7 linked regions of the Callithrix jacchus genome follow. The protein of the gene in region 1 interacts with the protein of each later gene in a pairwise test. Links are inferred from orthologs where the notes say so. Each region holds a gene or a part of one and is shown in the gene's direction. Other genes may lie near its edges.

Region 1 (4,007 bases):
GGCGCCTGTACTCTGTGTTATATAAGTGCTTAAAAAAATATTTGCTCATTGGCAAAGTTATGTGTGATTACCAGAGCATCCAAGAAGAGTGTCATGCTTTAAGTTTACTTGGTGATGAGCGGTGGTCTTAGCTTGAGATACCCTTTTAAGATAATATAGGACCCTTTAAAAAAAAGTCATTAGGTAGAATTGTAAGGCATTAAAAGTTGGTTTTGTGAAGTGTATTATGAATTGGTGAGAATTCTTATTGATAAAAATATCCCACATATATCCTTTTTAGTTTTCAAACTATTGAATGATTTTTAGTCTCTGATGGAAACTTAGTAGTTATGAGTTGCCAGTTATTAAAGCATCTGTCTCTTTTTCCCTTCCCGTTCCCCACCCCGTAAAACAAGTACTCACTTGTACTCAATTATGGCTATTTTTCCCCCCACTAAAATAGGCAAAAGTAAAAACCATCAGCTATACTGATAGCTGGGAACACCCCTTGGTCCTCCTCCACCCATTATTCTGTTCTAATTGGTTTGGGGTGATGCCTTGACATCTATAATGTTAAAAAGCTTTCCTGGTGATTCTAACATGTAGCCAGGGCAGAGAACCATTGCACAGCATTGTTTTGTCACTTTGTAGGCTAGATGTTGCTACAGTGGTTTAAGGTAAGTCAAAAATATGTTGTTAGGAACATGGGAAGGAAAAAATGGAATTGGAAAGGAGACGTCGAAGAATTACAACATGCAGACTTTTCTGCTTTGTCTAAAAGCTTCCTCTTGATTGTTTTTCCTGCAAAGAGTAGTTGATGTTTATCATGGACCCATAATTCCACGTAGAATACTTATGGGAATCCTAAGTGATACATTTCATTTGCAGAAGTACCAATGAAAGTTGAGTAGTAGTGTCAGGATATTCCTTTATGTTTACATGATAAAGTAAGTCATAGGAAAGATTATTTTCCCTATCAAATTAGAAGCTTATTGTAGCACTATAAACGAGTACATTAAATGCAAAAAGGCTTTTATTATTTTTTAAAGTCAGAAAGAAACCTGACCTCTGAGTCAATGTTTCCTGTCTACCTTATGTAATCCCAAATATCCAAATCTCAGAGCAGATCTTATGGATGGTTTATGAAGGCTTATGTAAGAACTATGACTGTGCTTTTGGTACTCCATTAAACTCCCTGTTTTGGCTATTATATAATTGACACGGAACTAGACTGTTAAAGCCAAAATCCGGGAGGATGCCCAAACCCACGCCGGCATACGTACTTTTATAATGAATTGCTGTTGCCAAATTAGAGGGAACAGCAGGGATGGTGGTTTGCGAAAGAGAGGTAAGAATAGTGTCTCCGGGATTGATGTAATAGAAGACTGTTAGGCTTGGCGATTTTCTGGAGACTTGAATGCTGTGGCAGAAACCTCTCTAGTCCTTTCTGTCTTCTAGCAGAGGCAGATCGACTGGGGAGCTAATGAACCTAAGCCTCAGGCTTCTTTGGAGCCCTCTGGGAGGGGCGCTGGCAGTGTGTTCATGTGGTCATCCCTGAGTTTGTATTTGTACTTTTGGATTCTTTTTTTTTAATAGGGAGAGTACTCTTTTTTTTATTTCTTTTACTTTAAGTTCTGGGGTACATGTGCAGATCTTGCAGGATTGTTACATAGGTATACACATGCCATGGTGGTTTGCTGCCTCCATCCCCCTGTCACCTACATTAGGTATTTCTCCTGACGTTACCCCTCTCCAACCTCCCAACCCCCTGCTGTCCCTCTCCTAGCCCACCAACTCACTAGAGACCCCAGTGTGTGATGTTCCTTTCCCTGTGTCCATGAGTTCTCATTGTTCAGTAGCCACTTATGAGTGAGAACATGTGGTATTTGGTTTTCTGTTCTTGTGTCAGTTTGCTGAGAATGATGCTTTCCAGATTCATCCCTGTCCCTGCAAAGGACATGAACTCACCATTTTTATGGCTGCATAGTATTCCATGGTGTATATGTGCCACATTTTCTTTATCCAGTCTATCCTTGCTGGGCATTTGGGTTGGTTCCAAGTCTTTGCTATTGTAAACAGTGCCACAATAAACATACATGTGCATTTGTCTTTATAGGAGAATGACTTATAATCCTTTGAGTATATACCCAGTAATGGGATTGCTGGGTCAAATGGTATTTCTAGTTCTAGATCCTTGAGGAATCGCCACACTGCCTTCTGCAATAGTTGGACTAATTTACACTCCCACCAACAGTGTAAAAGCATTCCTATTTCTCCACGTCTGGAAGAGTACTCTTTCTGCTCTCCCACTCCCCCAATTATGTAAACCCAAGGTTCCACAAACCCTGAATTTGTCCGTCTCTAACTTATGTTCAAATATTAAATTATAAAGTTGCCTATTCTTCGTTTAATTTTTGTTGTCCGAAAAGATTAAAAAAAAGTCTAGACAATATCATAGTTGACTTGCTGAGAGACTGCAAACTGCTATAACCTAGGGCTGTGTGGAGCCACTGAAATCAGGCACTTACCTGGAGAACCAGCTTTTTGCCTCGTGATCTCACATGCGTGGGACTGTTTTGGTTCAGTGTGTGAACTGGAGATGGAGAAGAATGGAAATGGGGTGGGGAAGGGAGGAAAGTGGGTTAAAGCTCTTCCTCTTCTCAGAGGCAAGATGCCACGGGGAAAGGAAGAAAAAAAAAACTACTGAAAGATGCTTCATTAATAAAATGTTAATTGGAACAGATCGCATCAGCTCCATAGGAGATCCTTCTGTAAGCTTCTTAGGATTGGTCTCTAATACGAATTTTCAACAGTGAGCAAACAAACTCAGTCCTGGAAAATATCCTACAGGAAACAAATGCAGGTTTGGAAGGACTAGATGAATATCAGCTTGTTCCCATTAGCAGTTTTTATGAGCGAGTGGGAGGCTTATAATATCCACCACACACATGTTTGAAATGAGTTGTTGAAAAGAGTCAAGGAGTTTCCCTTTTGCTCTGAAGTGATTTCTACTTCCTGTGTGAATTTGGATGCCTTTCGATCTTATATTCTTGACCCTTCCCACCTCGTCTATCCATCCATCCATCCATCGTCTGTATACCATCTACCCACCCATCCATAGAGACTCTCTTTTTGACCAAACTTTAGTCAGGCTCCCCTGAGCCCTCTTCTCAACTAGGCCTCGGTCTTGGCCTGTAAGAACTGCTGCTTTCAACAAAAACAATTTTATCTGTGCTTCCACCCTCCAAGGGATTTGAAAACACCCTAGCATTGTGTATTAGCCTGTTCTCACCCTGCTAATAAAGACATACCCAAGACTGGGTAATTTATAAAGGAAAGTGGTTTAATTGACTTATAGTTCAGCATGGCTGGGGAGGAAGGAGAAGCAAACACGTCCTTCTTCCTGTGGCAGCAGGAGAGAGAAGAATGAGCAAAAGGGGGAAAAACACCATATAAAATCATCAGATTTCATAAGAACTTAGAGCAGCATGAGGGTAATTGCCTCCATGATTAAATTACCTCCCACCTCGTTCCTCTCATGACACATGGGGATTATGGGGACTACAATTCATGGTGACATTTGTGTGGGGGACAGCCAAACCATATAATGTGGTGTCTAGCACCCTAAGACCATGTTCCTGGGATGACCCAACCTCACTTGCATTCCTACCTAGAAAAGCTCAAGGCTGCCCCAAAGAATTTATCTTTTGTTCTAACTTGTGCAAATGATAATAGGCCCCTGACTTTCCTTTTGTTAGATTATTTATTAAAAACCTGTAATTCTTTCTCTGTGCTTTGAGATGTAATGTGTATCTCCTGCCACCTGAAGTGTCTTCCTCAGTGTCTATGAGCCATTCCTTTGAAATGAAACTATCAGGAAGGATAGGGCTCTGTCCCCTAGTCTCTGTAGGGGGGTAGGAGCCTAACTTGGACAAGTGCATTTCCCAGTCACAGATGGCGTAATCTCATTGGCAAGCCCCCTTGCCTGCTTGCTGGAATGTTCTATATCCTTGACCCTGCTTGAGCTG
Region 2 (3,500 bases), on another chromosome or scaffold:
TTGAACTTAGCTTCTTGTTTTCAAAAGGAGGTAGTGACAAATGATACCTCGGATGATTGTTAAGATCAAGTGAGAACAGGCACAGTGGCTTACGTCTGTAATCCCAACACTTTGGGAGGCTGAGGCGGGTGGATCACCTGAGGTCAGGAGTTCGATACCAGCCTGGCCAACATGGCGAAACCCCATCTCTACTAAAAGTACAAAAATTAGCCAGGTGTGATGGCGTGTGCCTGTAATCCCAGCTACTTGGGAGGCTGAGGCAGGAGAATCACTTAAACCCGGGAGGCGGAGGTGTCAGTGAGCTGAGATCATGCCACTACACTCCAGCCTGGGCAACAAGAGTGAAACTATTGTCTCAAAAAAAAGATAATGAGAGACTGCATGAAATAGCAAGTCAGGAAAATAAAGTCCTATGCCAGCAAGCAGTGATGATAAAAACACAACCAGTAATATTATGTGACACATGGCGCCAGAAGTGAATGACTCTGTTGGTCCCCAGGAATAGATTGGAAATTTCCTCTTTCCCAGCTGCTGTTGAACAATAGTGGAAGTCCCTGGTGTCCGTGATACAACCTCAGGGCCCCTACTGACTAGAGAAGGGACTGAGAAAAAGAATTTTTTTTCTGTAAAGTAGAAGCTGTTTTTCCTGCTGTAGAATTAGAGAGTTTATTCAGTGCTTTCAGAATTCTTTCATATTTCATTTTAATCCGCAGGAGATTGGAAATTTTGTTCTTATTTAATAGATAAATAGCTGAGGGATGTAAAAACATGTTCACAATCACCCCACAAATTAAAGAGCAAGTCAGGGAAGTCGCTGTTTGGTCTGCTGGTTCCGTCTCAGAATCAGCTGGACGAGCACAGTGTCAAGTGCTGGCTCCATGGCTGGCTGTTCTGCGACATTAGGCAGATTTCTTAACCATCCAATGCCTCCATTTCTTCATCTGTAACATCCAGGCCTTTCCTTTTGCCACCTTCTCTTTCTGCTGTAGGCCTGGGTTGCCAACTATGAGAGACCCCGAATGAACGCCAACTCCCTCCTGGCCAGTCCCACGGGCCTCAGCCCCTACCTGCGCTTTGGTTGTCTCTCCTGCCGCCTCTTCTACTACCGCCTGTGGGACCTTTATAAAAAGGTAAGAGGGACACACCTGCCCAAGTCACAGCTAAGGTCTGCAGCCAGGCGTTTTGGGCTTGTTAGTTGCCCTAAAAAAAGAGGCATTGGTGGGAGGGGGTTGGGCTGTGGCCCCTGGAAGGGCCTAAGTGTGCAGATAGTCCAGAGGAGGAGAGAAGAGTCAATACCCCACAGGGCAGGGGCAAGCACAGAGTGAACTGCCCACCGGAATGGAGCCCAGGCTCCATTCTTCTGTAGAGCAGAAGGGCAGGCAGAAAGCAGGCCTCAGGTGTGACTCTAGAGGTATCAGATCCTCTGGCAGCTGGTGGATGGGGGTGAGGTCCCCAGGTGAGAGGCATGGAGCGGGTGAGGCTGGAGCCAGTCTGCAGCTGAAGAGCACAGAAGGGGAGTCTAGGAGCAGCAGTTGTCCATCAGTGATGGAGGGAGTGGTCTGGAGAGGCTGCACACACAGCTGTGCTATACAGACAAGAAGCAAATAAGCCTGTGTTAAGTGTCCCCAGAAGGCGAGAGGGCAGCACAGTCAACATTCAGAGTGATCACATTACTTGTGCCTATGATTTTTTTGTTTCTGTTGTTTTTTTTTAAGACAGAGTCTAGCTCTGTTACCCAGGCTGGAGTTTAGTGTAGGCTGATCACAGCTCACTGCAACCTCAGACTCCTGGGCTCAAGCAATCCCCCTGCCTCAGCCTCTCAAGCAGCTGGAACCAAAGGTGTGTGCCACCATGCCAAGCTAATTTCTTAAGTTTTTTGTGGAGATGGGGTCTCGCTATGTTGCCCACAAGCAATTCTCCTGCCTCATCCTCCCATAGTGCTGGGATTACAGATGGAGCCACCATGCCCAGCTGCTGTGTCTGTGTTTGTTTTTGTTTGTTTGTTTGTTTTTGAGCCAGGATCTCATTCTTTCACCGAGGCTGGAGTGCAGTGGTATGATCATAGCTCACTGAAGCCATAACCTTTCGGGCTCAGGAGATCCTCCTACCCCAGCTTCCCAGGTAGCTGGGGCTACAGGCTCATGCCACCACACCTGGCTGATTTTTTTGTATCTTTTGTAGAGACTGGGTTTTCCCATGTTGCCCAGGCTGTTCTCAAACTCCTGGGTTCAAGCAGTCTACCCACCTCAGCCTCTCAAAGTTCTGGGATTACAGGTGCGAGCCACCACACCTGGCCACAGCTACATTTTTTTAGTGTTATCTCCCCATCCTTGCCATTTTTGAGATTTTGTGGCATGGGGTAGCTTTGCCAGTCTGGTGAGTAATCTTGTGGCTTTAGGGAAGTCATTATTTGCTTGGAGGTCTGATTTCTTAATTACTTTATGGTCCCAGATCCAGGCTGTGTGTATAACTTATTCAACCAGAATCTAGACAACATTTTTCATGTGCGCTGATAGGAAGACTCCTTTTGACTGTCTAAAAGGTGGAGCAAAACAGGGAACTCTGAGGACAAGGAACATGACGAGCCTTGGGAAATTTGCTTCCTAGTGCAGAGTCCTGTGGTGAGGTTCCTTCCCACTGCCCGGCCCTCTGTAGCTTTCTTCTTGCTCAGAGCAGTGGCATAGTGCAGGCAGGGCCTGAGTGTTGCACCTGCAGGTCCGCTGTGCCGCTTCTAGGGGATAGTTCCTCCACATCTGGGGTTGAGCCGCCGAGTCTGTGGAGGGCCCAGATTCCTTTGTAGAAGACACCTGAGAGGCGTCATGCTAAGAGCTCAGCGAGTGTTTGTACCCGTGTGCCACCCTACCCTCAGGTGAAGCGGAACAGCACACCTCCCCTCTCCCTGTTTGGGCAACTCCTATGGCGAGAGTTCTTCTACACGGCAGCTACCAACAACCCCAGGTTTGACCGCATGGAGGGGAACCCCATCTGCATCCAGATCCCCTGGGACCGCAATCCTGAGGCCCTGGCCAAGTGGGCCGAGGGCAAGACAGGCTTCCCTTGGATTGATGCCATCATGACCCAACTGAGGCAGGAGGGCTGGATCCACCACCTGGCCCGGCACGCCGTGGCCTGCTTCCTGACCCGCGGGGACCTCTGGGTCAGCTGGGAGAGCGGGGTCCGGGTGAGTGCTCTCTCAGCAAAAAGCTGGCCTGTACCCTCTGGTCAGGCCCAGCAAAGGGCAGCCCCCATCTGGGCTGAGGGATGGGTTGGGATTTCTGGGTCCAGGAGATCCCCTCTAGATCTTCTGTGGCTTGCCTTCAGCAGAAGAGTTTTGGCTCCTGGGGGCACTGTGGTGACTTGGGAAGAAACATGGCAGCAGGTCCCCAAGGAGACTGATCGTCCCTCCCCTATTTAGGTATTTGATGAGCTGCTCCTGGATGCAGATTTCAGCGTGAATGCAGGCAGCTGGATGTGGCTGTCATGCAGTGCTTTCTTCCAGC
Region 3 (3,998 bases), about 110 Mb from region 1:
ATAAATGCCTACCATTTTAAATTTTACCCCTGTATCTCTTCATTTGGCTGTTCATTTTTATCTCTTATACTATCTTTTATAAGAAACTGGTAATAGTAAAATGTTTTCCTGAAAAACAACAAACTGGAAACAACTGTTTCGCAACAGGTAGAAGGACGTGGTAGCTCTGCATGCACTGAAATAGAATATAGTCCGAGATAAATTGTCTAGGAGAATGAAAAGCAAGTTGCAAAAGAACCCACAGTATGATGTCGTTCATATTGGAAAAAACGCCACAACCATGTGTGAGTGTGCGCATTGAATAAAAGAAAAGCCTGGAAAGAAACTAACGGCCAGCGGCGTCACATTGCAAGGGCGATAGGCAGGTTTTGATGCATGTGTGTGTGTGCAAAGTTCTGTATTGTAAGAATTTGCTACGGCCTGTATTAGCTTTATAATGAAACAGGTAGAAACTGAAAAAGCTTAATTACTCCCAATTCAGTTTATGTTCTGTCTCCGGAAAATTTTCCGGGATTCCCCAGCCCCCACTCCCTGCCCCATCCTACCACCCCCATTGCCCTCTCTGAGTCTCCATTTTCTTTTCCGTAGGAAGGGTTTTCATCATTTATCCTTATTTCTTCTGAATGCACTAAATGGTGGTTAACCTAACACTTAAGACGATGTCGGAAACATGGGTTCATTGTCTTGACCCGCGCGACTCTGACTAGTTTGACTACATTCTGGGGAAAATTTAGGAGTCAGGGGAAGAGGAGTTCCAAAAACAAACTACTAGCGGGTGCAGCTGTCCAGGAAGACTCCTGAAAAGAGCAGAGAGCGTCCGACGTTTTTCTCGACAGGCGCCGAAGTTTTCCGGAAAGAGACAACCAGTTTGGAGGTGGGCCCCAAAGCCGGCTGCGAGAGTCACCGAAGATTTCCGGAGAGAGCCGAGGAGTGGGGAAGGGCCGCTTTCCGAGAGTTGCCGAACGCTACGGAGATAACGGAAGAGGTGGAAGGCGGGGCCACAAGAGCCCTTCCTGCAGGGAACCCAAGGCTTCAGAAAGAGCCTAAAAGTTGGGAGGCGTAGCCACTCACAGGCCGGAAGTTTCCGGGGTAGACGCGTTCGGGTAGCAGAAGTCCGAGGATTTCCGAAGCGAGCCGAAGCATCGCGATCGTTTTCAGGGACCGCTGATCGATCGGAACTGTTTCGCGGACCACAGTCATGGCGGCATCCAGAGCTGCTGTGTCGGACGGTGGCGAGGAACCAGCGCCGGAGGCTGAGGCTCTGGCCGCGGCCCGCGAGCGGAGCAGCAGCTTCTTGAGCGGCCTGGAGCTGGTGAAGCAGGGCGCTGAGGCGCGCGTATTCCGCGGCCGCTTCCAGGGTCGCGCGGCGGTGGTGAAGCACCGCTTCCCCAAGGGTTACCGGCACCCGGCGCTGGAGGCGCGGCTTGGCAGGCGACGGACTGTGCAGGAGGCCCGGGCCCTCCTCCGCTGCCGCCGCGCGGGTAAGGTGGGCCGGGATCCCGGCGTGGGTGGCCCCGAGGCTCTGGGGCTTGGACGAGTGAGGTACTCTTCTGCTCTCCTAGCCTTGATTTGCCTTAGTCTCTCCTTATGTGCCTTCTGCCGTGGCCTGCCTTTCGGAAATGTTATTCTTTCATACCTTTCGTCATTAAGTCTTAAGAAACCACGTGGCCGTGCAGGGTCAAGCGTTTGTCCTGGGCCGTTCTGCCTGGTTCAGATCTGGGCTCTGTCATTATTGCTCAGCGTTGAACATGTTTAACTTCCCTGAGCCTTGGTTTCCCTATTTGACTCGTTTCAATTTTCAATCATTATCTGTTTACTTATTAGTCTTAAGAAACAGATGTAATTAAATCTGGAGCCAGGCTCTTTGGGTTGATATACTAACTCTGCTGCTGCTTATGTAGCCTTTCAACAAGTTATTTAGCCTCTCACCCTCAGTTTTCTCACCTGTGAAATGGGAGACATAGTAGCAGTATCCATGTCGTAGGGATGTTGTGACCATTAGAGAAGGTATATGTGCCACGTATTATGTTCAAATGTGTGCCTGGCACGTAGTGCTCAATAAATGTTGGACTTCATTAAATTGCCTATTTATTTTTTCATTAAACATCATTGTGCGCCAGCACAATAAACCTTGTCCTCAGATGAGAAATTGGCACTCAAGAGAGAAGTAACTTGCCCAAGGTTACACAGCTACTAAGTGGCTGGTCCAGGCCCTCAGATCCGTATGCCCCTGACTCAGAAGCACTGGCTTTTCACTTTTACACTTCTTGCCTTTCTTTCTTTTATCAATATTTTTTAGACAGCGGTGGGCACCAGAACATTGTTAAGTGCTGGGAGATCTGGGGGAGGGGAGCCCAGAAATTCATTAGCCAACAAGCAGACACATGCCGCCCTTGTAAAGACAAGATTTCATGAAGTTATTTGTGTGTTCGTATTTCTGTTTTCCACCTCTTATGATATGTTATGTTAAGCAGGAATTGTATTATAACTGCCTCGTTTATTGCTGTATCCCCATTGATTTATCTCTAAGTTTCTAGAAAAGTATACTGAGCCTGGTTGACCTTCGGTAAAGATTCATTGAGTTTATTGGAGCTGTTGTTCCTATGTTATAGCAGCAGAAACTGAAGCTTAGAGAAGTTAATGTAACTTTAAGATTAGAGAACTAATAAGAAAAGGAGATGGGATTTGAACCCTGTCCTCTCTGAAGATGAACCTCAAAGTCAGCCCACTGCTTGGCCTCCTGTTTGTGACCTCATCAGTAGAACCTGCCCTGATTGGGCTGTGCCTTGCTCTTTATTTTCGTTTTTTGTTTTTGAGACAGTGTTTCGCTCTGTTACCAAGGCTGGAGTGGTGTAGTTGCGTGATCTCGGCTCACTGCAACTTCTACCCCCTGGGTTCAAGCTATTCTCCTGCCTCACCCTCCCAAGTAGCTGGTAGTACGAGCTACTTGTATTTTTGTATTTTTAGTAGAGATGGGGTTTGACCATGTTGGCCAGGCTGGTCTCGAACTTCTGACCTCAAGTGATCCGCCTGCCTCAGCCTCCCAAAGTGCTGGGATTACAGGTATGAGCCACTGCACCTGGCCTTTGTTTTTTTTTTTTTTTCAGGGAGAGAGTGTGATAAATGAAGTTCAGTGAGAAAGGGTGGTTTGGAAGGGAGGAGGAAGCTTTTGCCTCCTCAGCTTAGCTGTGGGGTGGTCCCAGGCATAGTCCTGCAGTGGGCGTGAGCAGGGGAATATTCCAGATGAGTTAAGTTGTGCCATTTCCTGCAGCATTCCTAAATCATCCTGAAATAAGTAGATATAGTTGGAAAAACTGGCTTAATCTTTGAAAATTAAGTTTACCATTAAAAAAGAAAATCCAGTGCAATAACCACTTATGTCTTGATTTCAGGAATATCTGCCCCAGTTGTCTTTTTTGTGGACTATGCTTCCAACTGCTTATATATGGAAGAAATTGAAGGCTCGGTGACTGTTCGAGATTATATTCAGTCCACTATGGAGACTGAAAAAACTCCCCAGAGCCTCTCCAACTTAGCCAAGGCAATTGGGCAGGTTTTGGCTCAAATGCACGATGAAGACCTCATTCATGGTGATCTCACCACCTCCAACATGCTCCTGAAACCACCCCTCGAACAGCTGAATATCGTGCTGATAGACTTTGGGCTGAGTTTCATTTCAGCACTTCCAGAGGATAAGGGAGTAGACCTCTACGTCCTGGAGAAGGCCTTCCTCAGTACCCATCCCAACACTGAAACTGTGTTTGAAGCCTTTCTGAAGAGCTACTCCACCTCCTCCAAAAAGGCCAGGCCAGTGCTAAAAAAATTAGATGAGGTACGCCTGAGAGGAAGAAAGAGGTCCATGGTTGGGTAGAAGAATGTGTCTGACAGCCAGACGCAGTGAAGCTGTTTTTTCAAAGTACATTTGAAGAAATGCGGCAAGTAAGAGAGGCGATCTAAGTAAAGGTGTTAAGATATTTTTAAGTGGTGTGTGATCATCC
Region 4 (3,197 bases), on another chromosome or scaffold:
TGTTTATAGGTGTTCTGTGTGTGCTGGAGGAGAGAATAAGGTGGAAGACTACTTTTACTGTAAGTCTTAGTGGTTTGGCTAATTTTTTATCTACCTAATACTTGCTTTTTTTTCTTTCCATAGCATTATAGCCTTCAGAAAGGCCAACAAAGTGGGTATTTTCATCAAAGTTACCCCACAGCGTGAGGAGGGTGAAGTGACCGTGTGCTTCAAGATGAAGCATGATTTTAAAAACCTGGCAGCCCCTATTCGCCCCATTGAAGAAAGCGAGCAGGGCACAGAAGTCATCTGGCTCACCCAGCATGTGGAACTTAGCTTGGGCCCACTGCTTCCTTAAAAGGTTCCATTGGAGGGCAGATCCCAAAGGACAGTGTCACCATAAACCTGCGTTAAAATGTGGAAGCTGCTGCTTCATTAGGCCTCGTTTATAATGATGTACCCATGCACTACAGAATTCTATTGCTAGGAAAGTGGGAGCATTGGTGAAGCATTGGGAACACAGGGTAACTACTGTTCCTCTTGCTCTCAACTCTGTTGACACCAGTAAGTCTGTGTCTCCCTCACTGAGCCCTGCACATTGAATAACAACAGCATAATTCCATCCTAGGAAAGGGGATGGGTATTCCTTGGAGTGGCATTGTATTTACCACCTGAGAAACTGTACTGTACTGTCTCTTGATCTGATCTCACTAAAAGATCACAATGTCACAGATGAAACTTAAATGATAACCCACAGGTGGACCTGTTATTAATGATCCAGCATTGGTGGCAATGTACCAACTGCTTTCTGCATTCCATTAAATATAATCTAACAGTCTAAAACATATCCCTTCACTTGCCATAATGGCTGCTGTTTTGCCGTAGATTTCTATGTAACAGAAAAATTGAATTGTCACATCATCTTTAGTATTATGATGATTGGAACAGCCTGTGAAGTTGTTAAGGCACTCTCATTTGCCCTCTTTTTCTAAGTGAATACAGGACACTTACTAGTTGTCTTAATTTTTTTCCCAGTATAATATGGGACCATTCAAGAAGAATTTGAGAAGCAAGCAATTACCTGTCGTGTCAAGGGGGTAGCAAATTCCATTCATTTTAAATATTGCCACAACACCCAGGGATTAATGCTGCCACAGGGGAGCGAACTTTATTTGTCTTACTTCCTATGCCTTCTCTGTTCTGCCTCTGTAACTCAGTACGTTCTATTTGGGACCTGGAAAAGAACCCAAAGAAAACCTTTGTGGACAGGTTCACTTCTGGAATGCAGAAAACATTTTAAAGGTTAGATTTTTAGCATATTTTCAACTAGCATTCTTTCCATTGATTTGAAGGGGAAGTTAACTGTTATAATCTCTTGAATCCAAAACTGGATATTAAGAACTTTGCCCCTTACTAAGTTTAAGACTTTGGTCATATGGTGAGTCAAATAAGACCATTTTGATTGTAAACCATAAAATAGTTAAGCAAGTAGCCCACAGCTGTGGCCTAACAGCAGACATGCTGTTTTCACTTGGTATCCTGGAGTTGAGTTGCTAACCTTAGTTTTTATGATGTTTTCTAAAACGAAACTTGACAAAGTAGACCACCAGCTGCACTGTGTTTTCTGTAAAGGTATTGTTAGTAAGTGGCCAAGAGACTTGAGGAAAAGATAAATTTTCTGTTTACCTTGGTCTTGTTTTAAGTCTTTAGTTAAAAAACATAATTAAAGACACAATATAATGTAGAATACAGATGGGAGATAGTCCTTGTAAGCTTCCCTTGAAAATGTTTTAAATATTTAGGAAGCTTGTAAAAGATACTAAATCATGCTCTTAAGGTCTAGCCAACTTTATGAAACAGTCCCACAGAGTAATATATGTGATGCAGTGTAAGAAAGAAAATACTCATCTCTAACGCTATGGTAATAATAAAGTTTAGCCTCTTAGGAGTTGGAGCACAGGGATGGGTAATCACAGATTTGCAGACTATAGAAAGAGTTTGGCTTTTGTTCTGACCCCACAGAGTCTTGGATTTTTATTTCACTGCCTGCTAGGGCTTACCGTGAAGTCACTGCTCCATATTTGCCACCGGAGGAAATGGGCATCAAAGTAGAGAATACTTTCATATGTTTACACGTTTGCATAGACTACACACGTCAGGTAGCTGGGATTTGTTCCCAAAAGTAATAATGTTGAAGTATGGGTCTTATTCCTGTATGACACAGAAACACAAAATACTTTCATTGTAAACTTTTTTCTTCAGAAGCTAAACTTACTTGAATAACAGACCCATTGGTTTAATGTTTCCTCAAGATAGGTTTTAGTGCAAGCTAGTATTCCGCGTGTTTGTAAAAATGATTCAACACCTGCAGCTGGTGAATTAGGAATTGTATTTGTTGCCTTTTTTATATTAGATGAGGTGCAAAAATTTTAATGCTAGTCAGTATGCACCACCACGGGAAAGTTAGTTCTCCTTAGCATTTGAAACTACAGTTTTGGAAACTTAGGCTAAGCTCATTGGGTTTGTTATTTGATTCTCCCACTAACGTCTTCTTTTGTTGGAAGTGCTTGTCAGCATAATGAGCTAAGTGTCATGCGTATTTGTGAAGAAACATCCCTTTTGGGAAGGAGCGGCACTTCTTGATCTTTATGAATCACAGGTTACTGTTTTGCCTTATTGCTTAACTTAATGTAGTGAAATAAAGCAGACAAAGCTTGAGTGTGTCTTTTGTTTTGTTTCATGTAGACACTAAGTAGCATGCCTAGAGTCATAAGATAGGAGTGGAGTTAAGAGAGTTGGTGGGGCATGCTCCCTTCCATTTCTTTAAATGAAGTGATCTAAACTCTTAACAGGCTAGTTCACCGTAATACATAAGTAGAGCTTTGAGCTTCTCATATACATATTCACAGAACCATTACATAAATGTTGTTAGACTTCTGCCAGTTTTTATCCTGGGTCATTGCTTCTAAAGATATCCTTTGCAGCATACACAGTGGTCTGCCTCCACCAATGGCCGCTCATCCACCTTCATCTGTACCTTCATAACTCTTCCTTCCCTCCTGTTACTTAGATGAATTGTTCACACTCTTCTCTCTGAAGCCAGCCCCACCTCTTAACAGTCAAGCACATCCTCTTACCTGTTCACAGATAGCATCGGCAGCTCTCCCCTTCCTTTTTCCATCAGCATGTGATTTATCTCATCTTAAAAAGGAAATTAG
Region 5 (4,017 bases), on another chromosome or scaffold:
CTGAAGTCTTCATTTTGTTCACTGATGTATTCCAGGCTCTAGAATAGTGTCTGACACATGTTTTGGGTCCCTAAATATTTTTTGAATGTATGATGAGTATCACACATACTATCTTTATAATTATAAACCTAATATACAAAACAACGGCCGGGGCCGGGGCCCTAGAACTTTGGGAGGCTGAGGTGGGTAGCCTGCTTGAGCTCAGAAGTTTGAGACCAGCCTGGGCAGCATCTTTTTCTTTTTTTTGAGAAAGGGTCTCACTCTGTCACCCAGACTGGAGTGCAATGGCAGGATCTTGGCTCACTGCAACCTCTGCCTCCTGGGTTCAAGACATTCTCTTGCCTCAGCCTCCTGAGTAGCTGGGATAACTGGAGGACACCACCATATCCAGCTAACTTTTACATTTTTAGTAGAGATGGGGTTTTACCATGTTGGCCAGGCTGGTCTTGAACTCCTGACCTCAAGTAATCCCAGAATTTTGGGAGGCTAAGGCGGGCAGATCACGAGGTCAAAGGATTGAGAGCATCTTGGCCAACATGGAGAAACCCCGTCTCTACTAAAAATACAAAAATTAGTTGGGCATGGTGGTCCGCGCCTTTTGTCCCAACTACAGGGGAGGCTGAGGCAGGAAAATCGCTTGAACCCAGGGGGCAGAGGTTGCAGTGAGCCGACATCGCGCCACTGCTGCAGAGCGAGACTCCGTCTCAAAAAAAAAAAAAGCGTAGTATACAAAATAAAGCTAGGAATATTCCCTGAATCCTCCTGCCTATGGAATGAAGTCCACAGACTTGGAAGAGCGTTGAAGCCCCTCTAAAGCCACTCCCTTCCTCCAGCCTCTCGGCCCGTAGCTCAGCACTAGCAGTTCACTCCCGGCGATACCTCCCGCCGCCACGAGGAGACGCCCCAGCACCGCCCTCTGTCAAAGCCCAAACAATATTGCCACGTGACCCGCTCCGCATCCACGTGACCAGCGTCGCACGCGGTGGGCGTCAGGTGACGGGCTCAGTAGTTCTCCAATCGCTGTGCACGTTGTGGGGTTTCCACTTAGGGCTCGGTCTGAGGCTTGTAACACCACATTCTCCCCCAAGCCACAGGGGCAGTCTTGCCGCTGGCAGCTGGGTGGCGGTGTCTCTCAAAGGTCCTCTATAGGGGCTTCGTGAGGCCCAAGCCTACAGCACTCAGTTCCGGAAGTGACGTCTCCCAGAGGGGCCGGAAGTGGCAGTGGAGGGAGGGAAGATGGCGGAGGTGGTGAGTCCGGTGCCTGGGGCGGGGCGGAGGGAGCCAGGGGAGGTGGGTAGAGCCCGAGGCCCCCCAGTAGCCGACCCTGGCGCCGCGCTGTCTCCCCAGGGGGAGATAATCGAGGGCTGCCGCCTACCCGTGCTGCGGCGGAACCAGGACAACGAAGATGAGTGGCGTGAGTGACGTCGGGGGGCGGGGCTAAGGAACCTGAGGGCGAGGGGCGGGAGGGAGTCCACTGAACCCCCGGGATGGGGAGGGGCCTCTGGAATTATGGGGCGGGCGGGGCTCAGACACTCCGATGAAGGGGCGTGGCTCTTAGCTGCTATGAGAGGTACAGGGCGGGGTCTGGAAAGGGGTGGCACTTGTGACTGAAGGAGGCTTGGATGAGACCTTCCAAGTGCTGCAGCTTAGGGATCCGGCCTGGGGGTGGAGTTCAGGTCGTGGAAGGGTGGAGTCTCATGGCCTGGCCCGTCTAAGGTCCCTGCCTATGCTGTTCCCATAGCACTGGCCGAGATCCTGAGTGTGAAGGACATCAGTGGCCGGAAGCTTTTCTACGTCCATTACATTGATTGTGAGTTCTGGGCCTAAGGTGGGGCAGCAGGGTAGGGGGTTGGGGGGCAGTCTTTGGCATTCCTTCCTGAGCCATCCCCACTGCTACAGTCAACAAACGTCTGGATGAATGGGTGACGCACGAGCGGCTGGACCTAAAGAAGATCCAGTTCCCCAAGAAAGAGGCCAAGACCCCCACCAAGAACGGACTTCCTGGGTCCCGTCCCGGCTCTCCAGAGAGAGAGGTGGTGAGTAGGTCCCCCACTTCACCTCATCTCTCCTGCCTCCTATTTCTCTTATCTGTTGGCATTTAGGGGCTCCTGGATGGGCAGGAGGCGGCATCCTCTTACCCTGACTTCAGCTTGCAAAAGATGGGGGCCAAATTGCACATGTAGCTCCCAGAGTCCAGTAGTTAGTCCTGTGTCCTTCAGAAGGCAGAGGGTGGGGTTTGATAATTTTAAGCTGAGGGGCCCCTCTTCCCCTTCCCCATCCCACTGCCATCCCCGCCCCAGAGGAAGACCCTGGACCTATCTCTACAGCCGGCCTCGGCCCAGGCCAGCGGGAAGACCTTGCCAATCCCGGTCCAGATCACACTCCGCTTCAACCTGCCCAAGGAGCGGGAGGCCATTCCCGGTGGCGAGCCTGACCAGCCGCTCTCCTCCAGCTCCTGCCTGCAGCCCAACCACCGCTCAACGGTACCCTCAGCAATTCCAGGGACCTTGCTTTCTTCTCAGGTCCCACCTTCTCTACCCTCTGACCCACCTTTGTTGGTTTCTCTCTGCAGAAACGGAAGGTGGAGGTGGTTTCACCAGCAACTCCAGTGCCCAGTGAGACAGCCCCAGCTTCGGTTTTTCCCCAGGTGAGTTCCCCAAACCATTTCTTGTTCCTTTCCTCTCTTCTGCCCTCTGGTGGCCCTTTTCAAGCTCATCTCACAGTCATCCCTTCTTTTCCTGGTATCTCATCTGCAGAATGGAGCAGCACGTAGGGCAGTGGCAGCCCAGCCAGGACGGAAGCGAAAATCAAATTGTCTGGGCACTGATGAGGTGGGTCTGGGGAGCAGCAGAAGGGAGCTGCGTGAAAAGGAAGGGATGCAGGCAGGGTGGAGAGTTATTTAGTGATGAGTATAAAAATGAAGGGGTGGTGGACCTGGGCAGGGCTAGTGTTGGTAGGATTAGGAGCCAGGCAGAACATGGTTCAAATGAATCATTGGGGCTGGGCACCATGGTGCACACCTGTAATCCCAGCACTTTGGGAGGCCAAGGTGGGTGGATCACCTGAGGTCAGGAGTTTGAGACCAGCCTGGCCAACATGGCAAAACCTCATCTCTACTAAAAATAAAAAAATTGGTTGGGCACAGTGGCTGACACCTGTAATCCCAGCTCTTTGAGAGGCCAAGGTGGGTGGGTCATGAGGTCAAGAGATTGAGACCACCCTGTCCAACATGGTAGTGAAACATGGTGAAACCCCATCTCTACTAAAAGTAAAAAATCAGCTGGGCCTGGTGGCGCACGCCTGTAATCCCAGCTACTTGGGAGGCCGAGGCAGGAGAAACGTTTGAACCCCGGAGGTGGAGGTTGCAGTGAGCTGAGATTACACCACTGGTACTCCAGCCTGGGAAAAAAGTGAGCCTTTGTCTCAAAAAAAAAAAAAAATTAGCCAGACATAGTGGCAGGCACCCGTAATCCCAGCTACTCCGGAGGCTGAGGCCAGAGAATCTCTTGAAGCCCGGAGGTGAAGGTTGCAGCAAGCCAAGATTGCACCACTGCACCTCATCCTGGGCGACAGAGTGAGACTCCATCTCCAAAATGATCATTGGGTGATGTTTTCCACATCATCAGTCCCTTAGGGTTTCAGGTTTTACGTCTGGAAATTGGGGGTCATGGTACCTTCCCTATAGGGTTGCTGTTAGGCTTGAAGGAAACCTGTTGAGGGGGTGTGAGCTGTGGTGTCCTGCTGAGCTGTCTCGTCTAACCTGGTGTCTTCTACTCGCCCTGGGCAGGACTCCCAGGACAGCTCAGATGGAATACCATCGGCACCACGCATGACTGGCAGCCTGGTGTCTGACCGGAGCCACGACGACATCGTCACCCGGATGAAGAACATTGAGTGTATCGAGCTGGGCCGGCACCGCCTCAAGCCGTGGTACTTCTCCCCGTACCCACAGGAGCTCACTACATTGCCTGTCCTCTACCTGTGCGAGTTCTGCCTCAAGTACGGCCGTAGCCTCAA
Region 6 (3,930 bases), on another chromosome or scaffold:
AGTCGTTGAACACAATGCTATTTTGCCACTCAGAGAGCATCTGGCAGTCTCTGGAGACATATTTGGTAGTCACCATGGGGAGAGTGGGGAGCCATTGGCATCTAGTGGGTGGAGCCCAGGGATGCTGTTAAATGTTCCCCATAACAGGACAGTCCCCCACACAAAGAACTAGGCAGCCCAAAATGTCAAGCGTGCTGGGCTTAAGAAACCCTTGCCCGAGCGCCCCAGACTTAGTCTTGCTTTGGGGGCTCCGCAGGCTGCTTCATCTCCCCACTCTATTCCTCCCCCAGACCTCCAATTCCAGTGACGCTGTACAAAGCATCCCCTCCTCCAACGAGGCAGCCATCTCTGATGTCCCCAGGCTGGGCCAGAGCCCCACCACTCTAGGGCTACCAGATGCATCCTGTACAAGGTTCGAATTGTCCCGGCCCACCGCGTTCTCAACCATGGCAGATTCCCTGGATCCCTGAGACAGCCGGATTCTACCGGGTTACTAGAGACCAAGAATCTGTATTTTTCTCAAGCACCGCTCCCCGCACCACACACACACACACTGCCTGCCCCATCAAGGGCACACAGCAGGTGGCCCAGTGCTAGTGGAGCGCCTACTGCAAGCCAGGCGCTATTACGCGATCCACTCGGGAATCTTGGCACAGGCTCCACTCCATGGTGTAGAAACCAGGATCTTCCCCATTTCACAGAGCAGTAAACTGAGGCTCAAAGAAGTGACCGTAGCGGGACAGAGACTCAGGGCAGGAAAAGGGCCCAGGTCCTCAGAAGCTCCAGATTCCCGGGGGAGGAGGGAGGACAGAGGAGGGTGATGGACTGGGGGAGCGCGCGCTGGGTGGGGGGGCGCGGGGCTTCGCCGCGGCCTTCCGATGCAGCCCCGCCCCCACGAGGGACGTGAAGACGCGGACCCCGCGCAGCGTGGGGACATGTGACCGACTGCAGAGGCCGCGCCGCCTCCCCCGCCCGAGGTCTGCGCGCTCCGCCGCAGGGTGCAGACCCGGGGCTCCCGCCTGGGTTTGGGGCGCAAGAGCAAAGGCGGAGCCAGGGCGGAGCCAGCGCGCCCGGTCCCCCCCGAACCGAAAGCGAAACAGGGGCCGGGGAGGAAGGGCGGAGCCGGCCCCGAGGCACCGCCCCCTGCCCTGCGCGGCTGCTGGACCGACGGGCGCGCCCAGGTAGGGGGGCGGCTGAGCCGCGCAGTGCGGACCCTCGCGGGGACCTGCGCCGCCGCCACCATGTCTCAGGAAGGTGTGGAGGTAGGAGATGGCTACGGCTGGTCCGGGGGGGAGCCGCGACAGAGCCCGAGGAGCGGCCAGGAGGCGCGGAAGGGGCTTCGCAGTTCCTGGGGACCCCCATCCTAGAACCCCAGATCCTTACCCCTGCCTTGCGCTCGCCCCCCTTGAAAAGGAAAGTGACTCCCACGTTTCCCCAGAGCAAAATGAGGCCTCCCTGAGGAAAAGCGGGGGCTGCAGGGTCAAAGGTCAGAGGCCAGAGATAACCTGGCCGACCCCCCACCTTAGGCTGGGACGCTCGCCCCGGCCCGCGCCCTCCCCCAACGCCCTGTGGGGACTTTGGCTTTTTCCAGGAAATGCCGTAGAGGGATGGGGGGGGGGCGGCGGAGGCCAAAACCAAGGGTCAAGTTCAGGCCGGGAGAACGGTGCCTAGTAATGGGGGAGGGAAGATCGCGCGTCCCCTTCCCCCAGCGGAGCCCCCGTGTCCCCATCCCAGCTGGAGAAGAGCGTCCGGCGCCTCCGGGAGAAGTTTCATGGGAAGGTATCCTCCAAGAAGGCGGGGGCTCTGATGAGGAAATTCGGCAGCGACCACACGGGAGTGGGGCGCTCCATCGTGTACGGTGAGGCTGAGGGGGCCCGGGCCTGGTGCGGGGACCGCGCGTGGGATCGCCGAGGGGGCGTGGTGTAGGGAGAGGCGTTGAGATCACCTCCCCTGGAGATCCCAGCTTGGGGGAGGCTCTGCGTCGCGGTTCTGGGTGGCCTGGAACTCCCACAGACCCTTCAAAGGCCCTTCCCTTATGCGCACTCTCCCCGCAGGGGTAAAGCAAAAAGATGGCCAAGAACTGAGTAACGGCCTGGATGCCCAGGTAACCCTTCCCCTCTCAAAGGACTGGGTCACGGGAGGGAGAGCAAGAGGGGGCCCGACCCGTTCATGGGGACCCTCCTCTGAAACAGCAGGGACCAGGCATTGTCGTCTGCAACTCATGCCCAATCTTACTCACTTTTTCACCTCTCCATCGTTTGCGAGACCAGGGAGCCTGCAAACAGTAGGCGCTCATTATGTGCTGATTGTATTCAATGGGAGAGAGAGAGCCATGAAACTAGGCAATGAAAGGAGCCAGGATTATTGCCATGGTAGGGGAGCCCCAGAGGTCAGAGAAGGCTTCCTGGAGGAGGAGGTACCACGTCTTAAAGGATGGGGTGTAGTGAGCCCTAGGAGGGGAAGCCAGGGGTCTTGGGGTGGGGGAGGGAATGGTATGAGCAAAGACTGGAAGTGGGGAAGGGTTGTTAGTGGCAGTCCCTAAAAAGGCTGCGATGAGCAGGGGATTGGGGAGGAGAGAGAGGTGGGGAAATGGAACCCTTGTGTTGAGTGAGTGAGTGAGTGAGTGAATGAATGAATGAATGAATGGTTTTGAAGCACAGGTTCAACGCGGCTACTTTGCTTCTTGGAGAGCTTTGGTGATGGGAACGCTGTGGATTTCATCTGCCTGAAAGGCTCAGTGTAGGGCTGTAAAAGAGTATAATAAAATATGCATCATAGTCCACATTTACACATGTAAAAGTATGATAAAAATATAGCAGAGGGGCCGGGTGCAGTGGCTCATGCCTGTAATCCCAGCACTTTGGGAGGTAGAGGCAGGCAGATCACTTGACGTCAGGAGTTCGAGATTAGCCTGGCTAACATGGTGAAACCCCGTATCTGCTAAAAACACAAAAAATTAGCTGGGTGTGGTGGTGCATGCCTGCAATCACAGCTACTTGGGAGGCTGAGGCAGGAGAATCACTTGAATCCGAGAGGCGGAGGTTGCAGTGAGCCGAGATCGTGCCATTGCTCTCCAGCCTGGGCGACAAGAGCAAAAAACTCCATCTCAAAAATAAAATAATAATAACAATAACAGAGGGTAGCATTGATTGAGTACTTCCCACATGGCGAGACTCCAGGAATTGATTTATTTCATCACCACAGTGACCCAGGAGACAGGTCCTATTATTTATCATCCCCATTTCATAGACAAAGAAACTGAGGCTTAAGTCACTTGCCAGGTTCTCGAGGCAAGCAGGTGGCAGCTGAGATTTGAACCCTGGCCACCTGGAGTCAGAGCCTGAGCTCTGACATGCCTGTCAGTCAGTGGGAACCCAGGGGGCAGGGAGTGGCTTGCCCAAGTCCCCACAACTGGAAGTGATAGAGTTAGGATTCAAACCTGAATCTCAACCCAGATTCCCACCACTTATCTCTGGCACAGTGTGGCGTCAAAGGGGTGATGCATCACAACACCAACAAGCATGTAGCATTTGCAGGCAGGAAGTGAGTATGGGAGTCAGGCTGGCTTCACTCAGGCAAGTCCTCCACTAAGCCTCAGTTTCTCCAGTGCAGCAATAATGTCACAGGTGTGCCCACTTCTCAGGGCTGTTATGAGGACAACTGAGACCACACACCTGGCTCTCAGTAAGTGGGCAGTGCTCTGTGAGTTCCTGGCGAGTTAGGGGCACCCCATTTTCCTTGTAGCCAGGCCTCTACCCCAGCAAACAGATGGAAAGAGGCCTGAGCCCCATCCCCCATTTCTGCCCCTGCTATCTCCACCCAGGACCCACCAGAAGATATGAAACAGGACCGGGACATTGAGGTGAGTTGGTGGCTGTGGCTAGGGATGGGGAAGTGGGGAGGAGGACATCTGCAGGCACAGAAGCATGT
Region 7 (3,500 bases), on another chromosome or scaffold:
CTGGGATTACAGGAGAGAGCCACTACACTTGGCTTTAATTTTGTTTTTTCGATTGTTTCTGAGAAAGCATTAGTGAACTACTTGACTTACAAGATTAATTGTGGTCACTGTAGTTTCATTCACTAAAATATTCCCAGAGAAAAAAGCTGACCTTGCAGTGTCTTCCAGGCAGGATATCTTTTAATGGAAAAGAATCTTTGTTTTAATTAGCAATAACAAATCTGAATTCTGTATAATTGCTCTTACCAGCCAGATGTTAGGGAGTTGGATGATAGCTATAAATATTTATCCCGTGATAGTGTCCTGTTTAACATATGACTTTACTAACAGGCTCGTGAAGCTGTGGAAATGCGTGCCCAAGTAGAGAGAAAAATGGCTCAAAAAGAAAAGGAAAAACATGAAGAGAAACTTAGAGAAATGGCCCAGAAAGCCAGGGAGAGAAGAGCTGGGATCAAAACTCATGTGGAAAAAGGTATGACATTCTCATTACTGAATTGAATTTACTTGGTGAACAAAATATATCTCATTTTAGAAAATATTTTTTTCCTACTGCATATAAAGTAGGTACATATAAACAAAATTTAGATACTTCAGATATAGTTTAGAAATGGAGAGTAATCTGTGTGTTAGTAAGCTGAAGCAACAGGAGATAAGAGTGTATATTTAAAGGTGGGCCTTCAGTTTGGGACTGTACCAGAAGTTTTTAAACTTCTGAGTAATATACTTTTCAAAATTGCATTATTACTCAAATGATAGGCTTCATTTTTCTCTTATTTTAATCTCAAAACTTAAGAGAAATTAGGTCTCTAATTGAATAACTCAACTCCCTCATATGGTAAAATAATCCAGAGTTTTTCTGTCTTGTAGGCTAATGCATTTCTAATCATTAAATCTTCCAGTATTTTCTCTCTGGCTTTACTTAGTCGTCTACATTGGTGTTTTAATTCAATTGAAGTGGGAAGATGAATCCTAATTGAAATTTTGTAAGGGTGGTTTTTCTTGCATTACTAAATTCTTACCTAGTACATTTATTCATTCTTTTATTTATGTAGTTCATATTGAGCATCTGCTGTGTGCAGGGTTTCCTTTTAGATGTAAGGGGTTTTTGCTAGACAGTGGATGGGGGAATGGGATATAACAGTTAACATTCTAGTGAGTGTAGACAGACAAAAGTTAATCATGTAGTATAGTAAAAGGTAGTAATTGCTGTGGAGGAAAAACAATACAGGGAAGGAGGATATAAAATTGCCAGAAGGTGAGAGTGATCAAAGAGCCCTCACTTCTGACATAGTGCTTTTAGCAGAAATACTTGAAGGAAGTAAGGAAGCAAGCCATGTGAATATCTGGGGGAAGCACATCCCACAAAGAAGGGCCAGCCAGTACAAGGCTCTGAGATGGGGGTATGCCTAGAGTGGCTCAAGGAAGAGCAGACAGGACATTAAGCCTGGATTGTATGAGAAAGAAGGGGAGAAGTAGGAGATATGGTGTCAGAATAGTTAGGGCAGGTGGGAAGAGTAGTGGCCAGATTATGTTTGGCCACTGCTTAACCATTATAAAGATAAACCTTCTACTTCAAGTGAAAAGGGAAGCAATTGCAGCGCTTTGAGTAGAGTGATGTGATCTAACATTGTTTTCCAGCTTTATTGAGGTATAATTGGCAAATAAAAATTGTATAAAGTATACAGCAAGATGTTTTAATATACACTGTGTTCACCAGTGTCCAGCCAGTTAATTTACCAATCACCTCTTATAGTTACTTTTTAAATTTTTTGTTGAGAACATATAAGATCTACTGTCTTATGTTACTGGATGGAAAGTCTCAACTGTTGTCAAAAAAAAAAAAAAAGATCTACTCTCAGCAAATTTCAAATATACAATGCAGTATTTTTAACCATAGTTACCATACAGTATGTTAGATCTCCAGAATTTACTCATCCTGCATAAATCAAACTTTGTACCATATGACCATTTCCCCTAACATTTATTTTTGAAAGACCTCCCTGGCTGCTGTCTTAAAAATACATTACTGTGAAATGGGCATGGGTTAATGCCTTCCAAATAAAACTATAAGAGATATGGTAGCAAGTGGTAGCTAAAACATAGTCAGATATTGGATGTACGTTGGTGGTAGAGTGGACAAAATTTGTTTGTGGATTAGATGGAGATACAAAAAAAAATTAGGAGTTAAGGATGACTCTGCACCTGGCCTTTCCTGCTATTTTATTATGAAAATTTTCAAACATACAGAAAAGCTAAAAGAATTATATAATGAACACCCATATCTCCTACCACTTAGTCTGTGCTTAATTTTTTTTCTTAACAATTAACATTGCTCCCATGAACTTAACAGCTTCACTGCTAAATTCTTCCAGACATTTAAAGAACTAAATACCAGTTGGACTCAAACTATTCCAAAAAATTTAAGAGAAGGGAATGCTCCCAAATTTATTCTACAAAGTCATTAGACAAGTATACAACAAATAAGAAAACCACAGGCTAACATCCTTGATAGTTATAGATGTAAAAATCCTTAACAAAATTCTAACAAACAGAATTCAACAAGACATTAAAAAGTCATTCATCATAATCAACTGAACTGTCCTTCATCCCAAGGATGCAAGGATGATTCAGTATATGCAAATCAGTAAGTGTGATACATCACATTAATAGAACCAAGAATAAGAACCATAGCATCATTTCAGTAGAAACTGAAAAAGCATTTGATAAAATTCAATATCCCTTCATGATGAAAACAGTCAACAAAGTGGGCTTAGAAGAAACATCCCTAAAAATATTTAAGGCCACATATGACAGACCCACAGCTGACATTATACTGAATGGAGAAAAATTGAAAGTCTTTACTCTGAGATCTGGAACAAGGCAAGGGTGCCCACTTTCACTACTATAATTCCACATAGGACTGGAAGCCTTGACAGAGGAACATAGGCAAGAGAAAGAAATAAAGAAATCCAGATTGGAAAGGAAGGCCAGGTGTGGTGGCTCACACCTGTAATCCCAGCACTTTGGGAGGCTGAGGCAGGTGGATCAGTTGAGGTCAGGAGTTCAAGACCAGCCTGGCCAACAGGGTGAAACCCCATTTCTACTAAAACTACAAAAATTAGCTGGGTATGGTGGGGCTCACCTATAATCCCAGCTACTTAGGACGCTAAAGCACAAGAATTGCTTAAGCCCGGGAGGCAGAGGTTACAGTGAGCAGCAAGACTGCGCTACTGCACTCCAGCATGGGCAACAAAGCAAGACTCCATCTAAAAAATCAAAACAAGGAAGACATTAAATTATATTTCATCAGAGACAGTATGATCCTATATTTAGAAAAACCTAATGACGCCAACCAAAAAACAAAACTGATAAATGAATTCAGTAACATTACAAGATACAAAACCAACATACAAAAATTTATAGCATTTCTATATACAAATAGCATACTCAAGCTGAAAAACAAAAAGGCAGTCCCATTTATAATAGCTACAAAAAACTAC

Evidence for each region.
Region 2: the proteins of MTUS2 (region 1) and CRY2 interact in binary tests that used the Homo sapiens proteins (3 or more experiments, as listed by UniProt). The two-hybrid records come from large-scale screens. The link is inferred for Callithrix jacchus from reciprocal best matches to the Homo sapiens genes MTUS2 and CRY2.
Region 3: the proteins of MTUS2 (region 1) and TP53RK interact in binary tests that used the Homo sapiens proteins (3 or more experiments, as listed by UniProt). The two-hybrid records come from large-scale screens. The link is inferred for Callithrix jacchus from reciprocal best matches to the Homo sapiens genes MTUS2 and TP53RK.
Region 4: the proteins of MTUS2 (region 1) and DCTN4 interact in binary tests that used the Homo sapiens proteins (3 or more experiments, as listed by UniProt). The two-hybrid records come from large-scale screens. The link is inferred for Callithrix jacchus from reciprocal best matches to the Homo sapiens genes MTUS2 and DCTN4.
Region 5: the proteins of MTUS2 (region 1) and KAT5 interact in binary tests that used the Homo sapiens proteins (3 or more experiments, as listed by UniProt). The two-hybrid records come from large-scale screens. The link is inferred for Callithrix jacchus from reciprocal best matches to the Homo sapiens genes MTUS2 and KAT5.
Region 6: the proteins of MTUS2 (region 1) and SHFL interact in binary tests that used the Homo sapiens proteins (3 or more experiments, as listed by UniProt). The two-hybrid records come from large-scale screens. The link is inferred for Callithrix jacchus from reciprocal best matches to the Homo sapiens genes MTUS2 and SHFL.
Region 7: the proteins of MTUS2 (region 1) and SNW1 interact in binary tests that used the Homo sapiens proteins (3 or more experiments, as listed by UniProt). The two-hybrid records come from large-scale screens. The link is inferred for Callithrix jacchus from reciprocal best matches to the Homo sapiens genes MTUS2 and SNW1.

Annotation. Positions count from the first base shown.
Region 1 is NC_133506.1:147,967,852-147,971,858, forward strand, and holds the start of MTUS2 (microtubule-associated tumor suppressor candidate 2), read left to right. Parts: upstream 1-1,207; 5' UTR 1,208-1,327; intron 1,328-4,007. UniProt on the Homo sapiens protein: Binds microtubules. Together with MAPRE1 may target the microtubule depolymerase KIF2C to the plus-end of microtubules. May regulate the dynamics of microtubules at their growing distal tip.
Region 2 is NC_133511.1:110,891,850-110,895,349, forward strand, and holds part of CRY2 (cryptochrome-2), read left to right. Parts: intron 1-989; coding exon 990-1,130; intron 1,131-2,869; coding exon 2,870-3,181; intron 3,182-3,415; coding exon 3,416-3,500. UniProt on the Homo sapiens protein: Transcriptional repressor which forms a core component of the circadian clock.
Region 3 is NC_133506.1:41,910,517-41,914,514, reverse strand, and holds the start of TP53RK (EKC/KEOPS complex subunit TP53RK), read left to right. Parts: upstream 1-1,198; coding exon 1,199-1,481; intron 1,482-3,392; coding exon 3,393-3,832; coding exon of another isoform or gene 3,833-3,871; exon of another isoform or gene 3,872-3,978; intron 3,979-3,998. Other genes in the region: uncharacterized protein LOC144582859, read right to left, coding at 738-965, 1,072-1,200.
Region 4 is NC_133503.1:49,422,559-49,425,755, reverse strand, and holds the end of DCTN4 (dynactin subunit 4), read left to right. Parts: intron 1-123; coding exon 124-337; 3' UTR 338-2,697; downstream 2,698-3,197. UniProt on the Homo sapiens protein: Part of the dynactin complex that activates the molecular motor dynein for ultra-processive transport along microtubules.
Region 5 is NC_133511.1:122,803,676-122,807,692, forward strand, and holds the start of KAT5 (histone acetyltransferase KAT5), read left to right. Parts: upstream 1-1,217; 5' UTR 1,218-1,236; coding exon 1,237-1,414; intron 1,415-1,741; coding exon 1,742-1,810; intron 1,811-1,899; coding exon 1,900-2,036; intron 2,037-2,300; coding exon 2,301-2,483; intron 2,484-2,572; coding exon 2,573-2,647; intron 2,648-2,756; coding exon 2,757-2,831; intron 2,832-3,787; coding exon 3,788-4,017. UniProt on the Homo sapiens protein: Catalytic subunit of the NuA4 histone acetyltransferase complex, a multiprotein complex involved in transcriptional activation of select genes principally by acetylation of nucleosomal histones H2A and H4.
Region 6 is NC_133523.1:9,278,982-9,282,911, forward strand, and holds the start of SHFL (shiftless antiviral inhibitor of ribosomal frameshifting protein), read left to right. Parts: upstream 1-1,130; 5' UTR 1,131-1,241; coding exon 1,242-1,262; intron 1,263-1,734; coding exon 1,735-1,858; intron 1,859-2,054; coding exon 2,055-2,104; intron 2,105-3,823; coding exon 3,824-3,862; intron 3,863-3,930.
Region 7 is NC_133509.1:112,686,042-112,689,541, reverse strand, and holds part of SNW1 (SNW domain-containing protein 1), read left to right. Parts: intron 1-330; coding exon 331-472; intron 473-3,500. UniProt on the Homo sapiens protein: Involved in pre-mRNA splicing as component of the spliceosome. As a component of the minor spliceosome, involved in the splicing of U12-type introns in pre-mRNAs.